Linked DNA regions of Saccharomyces cerevisiae S288C. The protein of the gene in region 1 interacts with the protein of each later gene in a biochemical or structural test. Each region holds a gene or a part of one and is shown in the gene's direction. Other genes may lie near its edges.

The links.
Region 2: the proteins of MGA2 (region 1) and NPL4 form a complex in vitro, tested with the Saccharomyces cerevisiae proteins (one study listed by BioGRID).
Region 3: of the proteins of MGA2 (region 1) and RSP5, one has a biochemical effect on the other in vitro, tested with the Saccharomyces cerevisiae proteins (5 studies listed by BioGRID, with this or other methods).

Annotation. Positions count from the first base shown.
Region 1 is NC_001141.2:414,445-420,102, forward strand, and holds MGA2 (Mga2p), read left to right. Parts: upstream 1-1,679; coding exon 1,680-5,021; downstream 5,022-5,658. Other genes in the region: malate synthase DAL7, read right to left, coding at 1-235; DAL3 (ureidoglycolate hydrolase), read right to left, coding at 586-1,173; LYS1 (saccharopine dehydrogenase (NAD+, L-lysine-forming)), read right to left, coding at 5,171-5,658.
Region 2 is NC_001134.8:575,844-579,823, reverse strand, and holds NPL4 (nuclear protein localization protein 4), read left to right. Parts: upstream 1-1,737; coding exon 1,738-3,480; downstream 3,481-3,980. Other genes in the region: SMY2 (Smy2p), read left to right, coding at 1-674; Sec63 complex subunit SEC66, read right to left, coding at 840-1,460; adenyl-nucleotide exchange factor SSE2, read left to right, coding at 3,828-3,980. UniProt on the Saccharomyces cerevisiae protein: Substrate-recruiting cofactor of the CDC48-NPL4-UFD1 segregase. Assists CDC48 in the dislocation of misfolded, polyubiquitinated ERAD substrates that are subsequently delivered to the proteasome for degradation.
Region 3 is NC_001137.3:408,635-413,118, forward strand, and holds RSP5 (NEDD4 family E3 ubiquitin-protein ligase), read left to right. Parts: upstream 1-1,554; coding exon 1,555-3,984; downstream 3,985-4,484. Other genes in the region: DSE1 (Dse1p), read right to left, coding at 1-429. UniProt on the Saccharomyces cerevisiae protein: E3 ubiquitin-protein ligase which accepts ubiquitin from an E2 ubiquitin-conjugating enzyme in the form of a thioester and then directly transfers the ubiquitin to targeted substrates.

The DNA of each region.
Region 1 (5,658 bases):
CGGTTTCCGGCAAGAAATCAAATCGGTATTCACCAGAGTCTAACTTTGATTGTAAATTGCTTCTGTTGGCTAAAAGCTGTTTCCGTGTTGAATTGAAAGTTCTATGCAGCAAAACAATGAACTCTAAGGCATCTTTTGTTAAAATATCAGCTACAGTAGTTTTGGAAGGTTCAAATTGAGGAGTCGTGTCGATGTCTGCGTATAGAGCAGTGTTGTCCAAGCTTATCTTCACCATTGTTCAGTGCTCTTTACCGTGCCTATGACACATACTCTAAGTGATATCAACTGCACAGAAAGTGAAGAATTAAGACTACATGCGTAAATGTCCCCATTTTATACTTATTGCTTCACCAATTGACGAAACTATCCAATCTTTGTGATACTTTCACGATGTACCTTATCCAAGATAAGCCAAAACTTATGAAATTCAATTTATGTGATAAGAAAAGCAAACGCAATTTTCCAAAATCCGCGGTATTCTATCGCACCGCAACTTTCAGCGGAGATTTTATGTCGATAATCGTAAACCTATGAAATTACTAATACATGAACATTTACATATTTACTTCGCCCACAGTCGCAGAATTAGATGATAATACAAACGTCGCCATCGCTGTAGTGTTCTTCCACACAGTCCTTCTCGGGCCTGTCAGGGTCCAGACTTTCGTAGATTAAGACTGAAAAATCCAAATGTTCTTCCTTGCCAAGTACTATCATGGGCGCATGCCAGGTACCTAAGCCATAGGTAACGGCCTGATTACCCAAACATGTAAAAGCCCTCAACGTAGACAAGTCTGGCTTATTTCCAATTTCTTTAGCGACTACTACCAAGTATGCTACTTCCGCTGACGTTCTCCCCATAGGCACAAACGTCTGCGTACTACACGGATGCTTTTCGAGGACTTTGATAGAATGAGAAATCGCCTGATTGGAGCCTTGAGTGAATACTCTATTCAGGTGCGGCTGTGGAAAGCAACGGAATAGGTTCCAATTGGGAACTTTACTGGTAGATTTATTCTCTACCTGGCTTACTTGAAGCAATTTGATCGCTGTTCCCTGGTTTGCACCTTTTTCAAGGTTTTGCATCCTTGAAATCTCTTCATCTGGCGAAATTATCGTCCCATACTCCTCGAAGGACTCTTTCGTCAATGTCTCCGCCACCACGGTCACCATATCTTTGCTTCAAAGATTTTTTGCCCTACAAGATAAGCATCAAGAGCGATTGGATGACAGTTACTGACTTATATATGCGAATGCACATGAATAGACCGCATATGCTTCTTATCAGTCTTACCTCGCTTATCTTTCCCCATTTATTTGCCAATCCATCTTATCTTATCTGGCACTTTGTCTCAGGGTTAGTGTTACAAAAAGGCTAGGACTTATTTCCAAAATTCTACTTTTGAAAATAACCCTAACAATAAAAGCAAGGGCATTCTGATGTTACCCTAGAAATGTCGTATTTCTTTTTATATCGTGGATCATGACAAAAAACTCAACATTTTCAAATGGGTGAGCTCTAAACCAGAAAATACAGCCGCCGAAAGCCTTTTAAAAGGACAGCGGCGCTTGATCAACAGTCGTTCTTGGGGTCGTTAAGACTAGATCCTGCTTCCCCCCCTTATTGTGCATTTAAAGGCACTTATTGAAGGTCATTTTGGCGAACAGAACATTTCGTTATGCAGCAGAACAGTGAGTTCTTAACGGAAACACCTGGAAGCGACCCTCATATATCTCAATTGCACGCGAATAGCGTAATGGAATCACAGCTCTTGGACGATTTCCTCCTGAACGGGTCTCCCATGTACCAGGATGATAGCATGGCGCATATTAATATTGATGAGGGTGCTAATTTCCAAAATTTTATCAAGACAGATGAGGGTGATTCGCCCAACCTGTTGTCTTTCGAAGGTATCGGTAACAATACTCATGTCAACCAAAACGTGTCCACTCCACTGGAGGAGGAAATGGAAAGTAACAGAGCCTTGAAGGAGGAAGAAGAGGACGAGCATGAAAATAAGGTTTTTAATGAAAAAAATATAGGCAACCCTGCTCATGACGAGATTGTATTTGGAAGAAAGGAGACGATTCAATCTGTTTACATAAATCCTTTAGATTACCTTAAAGTGAACGCAGCGCAGCTACCTTTGGATGTAGAGGTCTCAGGTTTGCCACAAGTATCTAGAGTGGAAAATCAACTGAAACTGAAAGTGAAAATTACGTCTGAAACACCACTAAACCAAAGCATGCTTTACTTGCCTAGCGATTCCATTTCAAGAGAAAAGTTTTATTTAAAAAAAAATATCGAGGATTTTTCAGAAGACTTCAAGAAAAATCTTCTGTACATCAATGCGTTTGTTCTATGTGCGGTCAGCAACAGAACGACAAATGTTTGTACCAAGTGTGTTAAGCGAGAACAAAGAAGAGCCGCTAGAAGGAAATCAGGTATTGCAGACAATTTACTCTGGTGTAATAATATTAATAGAAGGTTAGTCGTGTTCAATAACAAACAGGTTTTCCCCATAATGAAAACTTTCGATAATGTTAAGGAGTTTGAATTAACTACCAGGCTAGTTTGTTATTGCAGGCACCATAAGGCAAATAATGGCTTTGTCATATTATTCACTATAACAGATTGGCAAAATAGACTGTTGGGTAAGTTTACGACAACACCTATTATGATCACGGATAGAAAACCAGCAAATATGGATACCACCAAGTTTAATAACACTACTACCTCGTCCAGAAGGCAGCTAACGGAAGAAGAATCTACCACAGAATATTATTCAACGGATAACAACCAATTGAGCAAAGACGAAAATATGCCATTTCAATATACTTATCAACACAACCCATATGATAATGACAGTCAAATGAATAATATTCCACTGAAAGACAAAAACGTACCATTCCCATATTCCATCTCTCAACAGACAGATTTGCTTCAGAACAATAACTTATCACTGAACCTTTCTCTGCCCAATCAGCATATTCCATCACCAACATCTATGAGCGAAGAAGGCTCAGAATCATTTAACTATCATCATCGCGATAATGACAATCCCGTCCGTACTATCTCTTTGACAAATATTGAACAACAGAGTCAATTGAACCAACGGAAAAGAGCACGCAATAATTTGGAAAATGACATTGGTAAACCCCTATTCAAGCATTCCTTTTCAAATTCAATCAGTGCAACAAATACGATGAATCCAGCTTTACATTCAATGCAAGATTTCTCAATGAAAAACAACAACAATAATTTGCCATCAATTAATCGCGTTATACCTTCACAAGGCCCAATCAATGGTGGTATCGAAGTTACATTACTGGGTTGTAACTTCAAAGATGGTCTTTCTGTAAAGTTCGGCTCTAATCTTGCCCTTTCTACGCAATGCTGGAGTGAGACCACGATCGTCACTTATCTCCCTCCCGCTGCCTACGCGGGTCAAGTTTTCGTCTCTATTACTGATACGAATAATGAAAATAATAACGATGACCTTCCCCAAGAAATTGAGATCAATGACAATAAAAAGGCCATATTTACCTATGTTGATGATACTGATAGGCAACTGATTGAATTGGCTTTGCAAATTGTGGGATTAAAAATGAATGGTAAGTTAGAAGATGCAAGAAATATCGCGAAGAGGATTGTTGGCAATGATTCTCCTGATAGCGGTACAAATGGCAACAGCTGTTCAAAAAGCACAGGTCCCTCTCCAAACCAACACAGTATGAATCTGAACACAAGTGTTCTTTACTCCGATGAAGTCTTGATACAAAAAGTTATAAAATCATTGAACATAAATTCCAATATTTCCATATGTGATTCATTAGGGAGAACTTTATTACATCTTGCCTGTTTGAAAAATTACTCAAGCCTTGTGTATACATTGATTAAAAAGGGTGCTCGTGTTAACGATATTGATTCCTTTGGGCTAACTCCATTACATTTTGCTTGCATAAGTGGTGACCCTAAAATTATTAAGATGCTTTTAAATTGTAAAGTAAATTATTCACTGAGGTCACACAACGGATTAACTGCAAGAGAAGTATTCATAGCAAACCACATTCATTCAAAGGAAATAGACAAAAAACAAGATAACAGAGACAACCATAAGTTTGTTCATAATGACACTTATATCAGCGAAGTATTGTCATTGTTTGAAGAATTCCAAAACGGTACGAAGTTTACCGATAGTGTAGAAACAGACAGTAATTATTCTATTAGCAGGAAATATTCACAATCCAGTTTCAATTCAAGCCTGCTAGACAATGAATCTTTGAATGAGAACTTATTCGAAAGCCAAAGCATGATAAATCCCACTTCTATGGAGATTCAGCATCCAACCTTGCAACTATTTGAGAATTCAAGTTACTCTGAGTACGACCAAAGTGATTTCGAAGAAGACGGGGATGAAGATCTGTTCGTCACTGACGAAGTAGAAAAACCAGGTGTTGCATGCAGGGAGGAACAAAGCGAACTCCTTGATATTGGATCTAGCGCCAACGAACCCGAAGAGGATAATGGTAGTACATCTCTCTGGAATAGAGTTTTACATCGAATTAATGATGACTTACCAAAATATGAGGATCTGTTCCCGTTGTCTTGGGGTAAAGATGATAAATTGAAAACCACAAATCAAGACAGTATTGTGGAGCAGTCAGCATCTAATATTGAAAACTCTGAAAATTCGGAGGAAGAGGATTATGAGGAAGAGGAAGAATTTTTGAAAAAACAGTTTAACAGATTCTTCCAAAACAAACAAAACTTCCGAAATGATAAAATGTTAATATTTTTCTGGATACCCTTAACACTACTACTTTTGACATGGTTCATCATGTACAAATTTGGCAACCAAGATAGTTCCATCAATCATATAAGCGAATTAATCTCAGAGTACTTGAGAATTGCATTAGCAAAGTTCTTGCTGGGAAATGAAAGGATGAAAACTGCATTCAGGTCAAAATTATCAAACCTGCAAACAACAAGAATGTTGAACGATTTAATTGTCAGTTAGTCTGCTTTTTTACGTATATATATATATATATGTGTGTATAATGAAAAGACAGTACACTTAAAAGAAGAGAAAGTCATTTAAAAAAAGTCAAAAAAAAATTAAACTTGTAAATGTCAGCGTAACGATAATGTATATACTTTAAATGTAAACTACAATCTTGAAGATCTTTTAACACGAGCGCAATGTCTATCGAACAATTTCTTGGCTCTAACCCAGACAGGAGCAGTTTTTCTTTGAGGTAGGAGCTCTAAAGATGGTAAGAGATCATGAGAGAAAAATTCTGAAGCTTCTCTTGGCAGCAAAGAAGGCAAGTGATCAATAGAGATGACAGATAATTTAGGCCCGGCAGTGGTAGGTACCAGAACGGTAGGTTTGTTAAACACAGTAGCCACAGTGTATATTGGGATGGGGTTGTGAGGGTTGGTAGTGTCTGCTGATACGTCCACCACGGTCCTTAGTCTTCTGTTAGGATTATTCAGTTTCTCCATGTTAGTGAAAGGAGCAATTGGCTTCGATAGATATATACAATTGATAAAAATATCAGCTTGTGGAATTTCGTCAAAGGGACCACCACGGGAAGTTTCTTTGATATCCCATTTTAATATGTTAGCATCTGGAATACCAACTTTGTGCAACA
Region 2 (3,980 bases), on another chromosome or scaffold:
CTAACAAGTCCAGCCTACCATCGAATCAAACTATTGATATTAAATCTCAGTTTCAAAAAAGCCCAAAAGGGATGAAAGAGTCGTCTCCGTTAAAGGAGTTGGAAGATCCAAATTTCATAGAAGAGCAGAAAAAACTATGGGAAAAGGTTCAGAGTTCTTCCAAACAAGTAAAGTCCACATCCTCTGCATCTACTACCACATCTTCTTGGACTACGGTGACTTCTAAAGGGAAAGCACCTATAGGAACCGTTGTCTCCCCATATTCAAAAACCAATACCAGTTTAAATTCTTCATTAACGGCAAAAACTAGCACAACTTCTACTACCACTACCTTTGCTAGCATGAACAATGTTTCTCCCCGGCAAGAATTTATCAAATGGTGTAAATCACAGATGAAATTAAATTCTGGAATAACCAATAACAATGTCTTAGAACTATTATTGAGTTTACCTACGGGGCCAGAATCTAAAGAATTGATTCAAGAAACAATTTATGCCAATAGTGACGTTATGGATGGTAGAAGATTTGCCACTGAATTTATTAAAAGACGTGTTGCGTGCGAAAAACAAGGTGATGATCCACTAAGTTGGAATGAAGCGCTAGCTCTATCAGGCAATGATGACGACGGCTGGGAATTCCAAGTAGTGAGCAAGAAGAAGGGTAGAAAACACTGAAAGGAAAAGCTTCATAATTTTTTCTTTTCACTGCATATTTCTTTATCATTTATTGTTATTGTATATACTTTATAACTATTTTTTAACGCAGATAATGACAAATTCTATACATATTTTTAAAAAAACACTGAACGAGCGAATACATATCTTTGCACACAGTAGGCACTAATTGACTAATCTTCCATCATTATTTATTTTCAGCTCCCACTCTTTAATACACACTTCTTTCCGTTTCAAGATTGATTGATAACGTCTAGAGAGAGCTTGATTAAAGCAAATTTCTTTACAAACCATAACGAACAATTGAACCCAGCCCGGTTGCAATCTTTCAGCTTCTTGTAAAGTATCTTTAAATTCCAATTCAATTAATTTAACTTCAGTTTCAAATCTCTTCCAGTAATCCTCCCCAATAGAGCCATTTTTATATAGAAGGTTTATCTGAGGAGCCAACTCTTTTAACTTTAATGATCGTCTAACAGATTCTGCTCCTCTGTTCAATAAAGCGGCCTTCAACACCTTCTCGTGAATTTTTTCATTTTCACTCATTTCCTTTATTTGGAAATACAGATCATGGGCATCGTTTTCGTCAAATATGGATGGTTGCTCACTAATTTTTTTGGCCTGCTTCTTTCTGTAGCTTGAAGCAAACATCACAAGGGACACCACCAGAATAAAGACATATATGAGTGGGGTATAAACGGAGATTGATTTCGTCTCCACAATTGGCTCTTCCGTTTCAAAAAACGTCCCGTTGTTGGAGAATTTTGTTTCATTAAATTCGGACATATTGGCAAACTCAAGTAGTTGTGCGTACCTCTTTCCTGTACTTGAATTCGTTTAAATAAGCCATTTCATTAATATTTCATCAATTTTTTCACATATTATTTCAACTTTTAGACGTGTTCCTAAAACTTTTGACGTTTTTTGGCGGGTAATAAGATGCGTCTACCCATTTTAAGGAACGCCCTCGTAACATACAGAACGAAGAGTGGCAAATAATAGGACAGTACTCTGAAGAAAAATTTCCCTATACTACTGATATCGATATACATTTAAGTGAAGTATGCTTATCAGATTTAGATCAAAAAACGGTACACACAGGGTTTCTTGTCAAGAAAACGACCTTTTCGGAACGGTCATTGAAAAGTTGGTGGGTAATCTGGACCCCAATGCCGATGTCGACACATTTACTGTTTGTGAGAAGCCCGGTCAAGGTATTCATGCTGTTTCTGAACTAGCTGATCGAACAGTGATGGATCTAGGACTAAAGCACGGTGACATGCTGATCCTTAACTATTCGGACAAGCCCGCTAATGAGAAAGATGGTGTCAATGTTGAAATCGGATCCGTAGGTATTGACAGCAAGGGAATTCGTCAACACAGGTACGGTCCACTAAGGATCAAAGAACTCGCTGTAGATGAGGAACTAGAGAAAGAGGACGGATTAATTCCTCGTCAAAAATCAAAACTATGCAAGCACGGTGATAGAGGTATGTGTGAATACTGCTCGCCTTTACCTCCTTGGGACAAAGAATATCATGAGAAGAATAAGATCAAACATATATCGTTTCATTCATATCTTAAAAAGCTAAATGAAAATGCTAATAAGAAGGAGAACGGCAGCTCTTATATTTCCCCTCTTTCAGAACCTGATTTTAGAATCAATAAGCGTTGCCATAATGGCCATGAACCATGGCCTCGGGGGATATGTTCTAAATGTCAACCATCGGCAATTACATTACAACAGCAAGAATTTAGAATGGTTGACCACGTTGAATTTCAGAAGAGTGAAATAATTAATGAATTTATTCAGGCGTGGAGGTACACGGGTATGCAAAGATTTGGCTATATGTACGGATCTTATTCTAAGTATGATAACACACCTTTAGGTATAAAGGCCGTCGTTGAGGCGATATACGAGCCCCCTCAGCATGATGAGCAAGACGGTTTAACCATGGACGTAGAACAGGTCAAGAATGAAATGCTACAGATTGATAGACAGGCTCAAGAAATGGGGCTTTCGCGAATTGGCCTAATATTTACAGATTTATCTGACGCGGGAGCTGGGGATGGGTCTGTTTTTTGCAAAAGACATAAGGATTCGTTTTTTCTTTCATCATTAGAAGTTATTATGGCTGCTAGGCATCAAACAAGGCATCCTAATGTAAGCAAGTATAGCGAACAAGGTTTTTTTTCTTCCAAGTTTGTAACTTGCGTTATATCAGGTAATTTGGAAGGTGAAATTGATATTTCGAGCTACCAAGTATCCACAGAAGCTGAAGCATTGGTTACTGCAGATATGATAAGTGGGTCCACATTTCCTTCAATGGCATATATTAATGACACTACAGATGAAAGATATGTACCTGAGATATTTTACATGAAGTCGAATGAATATGGTATAACAGTGAAGGAAAATGCGAAGCCTGCATTTCCGGTAGACTATCTTTTAGTGACGCTGACTCATGGGTTCCCGAATACCGATACGGAAACCAACTCGAAATTCGTTAGTTCCACCGGATTTCCATGGAGCAATCGACAAGCTATGGGGCAATCTCAAGATTATCAAGAATTAAAAAAGTATTTATTCAATGTGGCTTCAAGTGGAGATTTCAATCTTTTGCATGAAAAAATCTCGAACTTTCATTTACTATTATACATAAATTCTCTGCAGATACTCTCTCCAGACGAATGGAAGTTACTAATAGAATCTGCTGTGAAAAATGAATGGGAAGAATCTCTACTAAAACTTGTCTCATCGGCTGGTTGGCAAACGTTAGTCATGATCCTTCAGGAAAGCGGCTAGGAGAGACTGTAAGATTTGAGGTTTTAGATTAAAAAAATAGAAATGCGCGGAAGGTAAAATTGAGCCTTTTTTATTTTAAAACTATGTAAATCATCCAAAATAGTAGACGTTTCTAGAACGTCCCCTTACCAAAAATCACATCATACGAGGAGTTTTAAGGAACAATAACTGGGAGTCGCTTTTACAAATTGGTATATATTAAGGTACTCTTGATATAAACCAAAGGACTTTGCCGTTTAGAGATTTTTATTTATGAAATCTTGTATATAGATTTTGGAAATATCCCTTAAAACTTCCTTTTTTTTTTTTTTTTACCTGTAACAGACGTAACCAAAGGATATAATATAATGAGCACTCCATTTGGCTTAGATTTAGGTAACAATAACTCAGTACTAGCAGTTGCCAGAAATAGGGGTATTGATGTCGTTGTCAATGAAGTTTCTAATAGGTCTACACCATCCTTGGTCGGCTTTGGCCCCAGAAATAGGTACTTAGGTGAA
Region 3 (4,484 bases), on another chromosome or scaffold:
TACCATGGGCAATAAGCAGATACAAGTAATGGGTTTACCGGGAACAGTAATCGTCTGTAGTTCCTTCAGCTTTTTCTCAGCGGAAATTTCAAAAAGTTTCAAGTTGTCTTTCTCGTTCATTGTAGATACTAGAAGTATATTATCCACAATGGACATGTCTGAAGGTATGGATAACTCACTTTCATCAACACCGTACAGTTTCCAATAATCTGATTTTAATTTTTTAGTTGTATAATAGTCATTGAAGTTGTCTGATGCTTTTCGCAAAATCGGTGAATTCATTTTCGAAGTATTGTTTTGCCACGTTTTTTTGTATGTGGATAAAGTCATCATCGATTGTAAAATCCTCTTTTTATCTGATCTCTTCTTTATATTAATAGCAGGCTGACGAAAAATATTTGTTGGTTCGTAGTATTTGGTATCTTGCATAATATTAATACGTGTCACTCTCACTATCACACCTACAATCAAATTTTTTAGCAAACACAGATTAAAATTTGGAAGTCATGCAAGAAGAAGAAGCCAAAAGATAGTTTGAGGAAAGCTTGGGAGAGATATTTCTACCTTTTTATATATTGTAAAACGTTTACGCACTTATTTATGTAAACCAGTAAGCACCCACCCAGCTATGTCGTCATGACTACAAATTGGTTATGAACCAAGCCTTATTCAGTAAACCAGCAAATTTAACATCATGCCGGCATTGAATCATACATAGAAATCAACACAATAGCTTTGAGAACTGAGAATGTAGCTTTGACGCTGCTATTATTATTTGGTATTGTTTACCTTTTAATGTTTATTTGTTTAGAAAACAGACTGCTGGTTTGTTTACATTTGAGAGCAGAAAAAAAAAATTGCTGGCGCAGACCAGCCGCACAGTCACGTGACAGTATACGATCATGTGATCTTACGTACATAATGACATTATACGAGAAAGGGGAAAAAACAAAAATTTAGTGGAAATTTTTGGTAAAGACCAAATTGCAGTGATCTTCATGGTGAAAGGTAATATTTTTTGCTGGCGGGGGAGGGGGCTTCTATCTCGACAATTAAAAGACATACGCTTAACCATTTTTAGGGTACTCGAGTATCGCATCTGCTAATTGATAAAAGGACTTTGTTGTGTTTTGAGGCTGTTTTCCATTTTCTTCGTTAGAGCTACAAGAGTCGACTTTTTCGTTAAACAAAAACGATTATAAGATAATAAGCGCTGTCAGTTTTTTCCACAGTTTTGGACTTGTTACTATAATTCGTGAAGCACATTTTGCAAGTGAGTCAAAATTTCAGTTCAGTCCTTCTTTAGAAGAGTGAGTGCGTAGCAAATAAAACAGCAGGAAATAATTGCTTGTTTTTGTGTGTAAGTACCTTTTAGTTGGAACTACCGAATATAGTGTTATTCGACTTTCACTTTCATAAGCCACAGCTTTTTCTTAGTGCGTTTTTAGTTCGATAAATTTACCAAAAACTATTTTCCCCTTTTCTTATTCCCTTTTCTTTGTTAGCTTGGGTATTATATTTAAAGTAACAGAAAGGAAAGAAAAAAGAAAAAAAATGCCTTCATCCATATCCGTCAAGTTAGTGGCTGCAGAGTCATTATATAAGAGGGACGTATTCCGTTCCCCGGATCCGTTTGCTGTTCTGACTATTGATGGTTACCAAACCAAATCTACATCCGCAGCGAAGAAAACGTTAAATCCCTACTGGAATGAGACTTTCAAATTCGACGATATCAATGAAAATTCTATTTTAACCATCCAAGTCTTTGATCAAAAGAAATTTAAAAAGAAGGATCAAGGGTTTCTTGGCGTGGTTAACGTCCGCGTGGGTGATGTTTTGGGCCATTTGGATGAAGATACTGCTACATCGAGTGGTAGACCTCGCGAAGAAACTATTACTCGTGATTTAAAAAAATCTAATGACGGAATGGCCGTCAGCGGTAGGTTGATTGTTGTTTTATCAAAACTACCTTCGTCAAGTCCGCATTCACAAGCTCCTTCTGGCCATACTGCATCTTCTAGTACGAATACAAGTTCAACTACTCGAACAAATGGTCATTCTACTTCCTCCACCCGTAATCATTCAACGTCTCATCCTTCCAGAGGCACCGCGCAAGCAGTAGAATCAACTCTTCAAAGCGGTACAACAGCTGCTACTAATACGGCAACAACCAGTCACCGTTCCACCAATTCCACATCCAGTGCTACCAGACAATACTCTTCGTTTGAAGACCAGTATGGTCGTTTACCCCCTGGTTGGGAGAGAAGGACCGATAACTTTGGTCGTACATATTACGTCGATCATAACACAAGGACTACCACTTGGAAACGTCCAACGCTCGATCAAACAGAAGCCGAACGTGGCAACCAATTAAATGCAAATACTGAGTTAGAGAGAAGGCAGCATAGGGGAAGAACTTTACCTGGTGGATCATCAGATAATTCCTCTGTAACAGTTCAAGTGGGAGGTGGTTCCAATATACCTCCTGTTAATGGTGCAGCAGCAGCAGCGTTTGCAGCTACAGGTGGTACCACATCTGGTTTAGGCGAATTACCTTCAGGCTGGGAGCAGCGATTTACTCCAGAAGGAAGAGCTTATTTCGTTGACCATAATACTAGAACAACCACTTGGGTGGATCCAAGGAGACAACAGTATATACGTACTTATGGCCCTACAAATACCACCATTCAGCAACAACCGGTCTCCCAATTAGGTCCTTTGCCTTCTGGATGGGAAATGAGATTGACCAATACGGCACGTGTATATTTCGTTGACCACAATACAAAAACAACGACCTGGGATGACCCAAGACTTCCATCATCGCTAGACCAAAATGTTCCACAATACAAGCGTGACTTCAGACGTAAGGTTATTTATTTCAGGTCCCAGCCCGCTCTTAGAATATTGCCGGGACAATGTCATATTAAAGTACGTAGAAAGAACATTTTTGAGGATGCTTATCAAGAAATTATGAGACAAACCCCAGAAGATTTAAAGAAAAGATTAATGATCAAGTTTGATGGTGAGGAAGGTTTAGATTACGGTGGTGTTTCCAGAGAATTTTTCTTTTTATTATCACATGAGATGTTTAATCCATTTTATTGTTTGTTTGAATATTCTGCGTATGACAACTATACCATTCAAATAAATCCTAACAGTGGCATCAACCCCGAACATTTGAACTATTTCAAATTCATTGGTAGAGTTGTGGGTCTTGGTGTTTTCCATAGAAGATTTTTGGATGCATTCTTTGTAGGTGCACTTTACAAAATGATGCTACGTAAAAAAGTCGTATTGCAAGATATGGAAGGTGTTGACGCAGAGGTGTATAACTCATTAAACTGGATGCTTGAGAATAGTATAGATGGTGTCTTGGATCTGACGTTCAGTGCCGACGATGAAAGATTCGGTGAAGTTGTAACAGTGGATTTGAAGCCAGATGGGAGAAATATTGAAGTTACTGATGGTAATAAGAAAGAATATGTCGAATTATATACCCAATGGAGAATTGTTGATAGAGTTCAAGAACAATTTAAGGCATTCATGGATGGTTTTAACGAATTAATCCCCGAAGACTTAGTAACTGTGTTTGATGAGCGTGAACTAGAACTATTGATCGGTGGTATTGCGGAAATTGACATTGAAGATTGGAAGAAACACACTGATTATCGTGGTTACCAAGAGTCAGACGAGGTCATTCAATGGTTTTGGAAGTGTGTCAGTGAATGGGATAATGAACAAAGAGCCCGTTTATTGCAGTTCACCACTGGTACTTCTCGTATACCTGTCAACGGGTTTAAAGATTTGCAAGGCTCTGATGGTCCAAGAAGATTCACTATTGAAAAAGCTGGTGAAGTACAACAATTGCCAAAATCTCACACATGTTTTAACAGAGTTGATTTGCCACAATACGTTGATTATGACAGCATGAAACAGAAGCTAACATTGGCCGTGGAAGAAACCATAGGGTTTGGTCAAGAATGATTATTCCGCACCAATTTTTTTTTTATTTATGGTGTCCGTTTTCCCAACATTCTTTCTGCCTCAATCATCTTGTTTTATATTTCAGCTAACAATAGTAAAGAGAAAACTCTTTTTTGTTAATTTTATCTGAGTTGCTCATGAAATGATTAATCATTGTTGTTTTTACAGCAACATGGAAAGCAGCAAAGAAAATGCAGGAAAACGTGAAGTGCTTTTTTTGATGATTACGCAAAGTTCTTTTCAAGTTCGCCATAAGAGGAGGTTTTCCTTTTCAAAAGGAGCATGATACCAATAATTTATATTGCCTTACGCCTCTTATTTTTTATATCCTCTTTTTAGATTTTATTAATTTTTTTTTTTATTTATATACATATAATGTGCCCTGCTTTTTACAACCATACGTTTTTTGTTTTTTAATTTTCTTGCATTTTAAAACTGAATAGTGACCTGGGTATTATACTACAGTTGAAATTGCTCTCGTGAGGTACATACTTGAAACG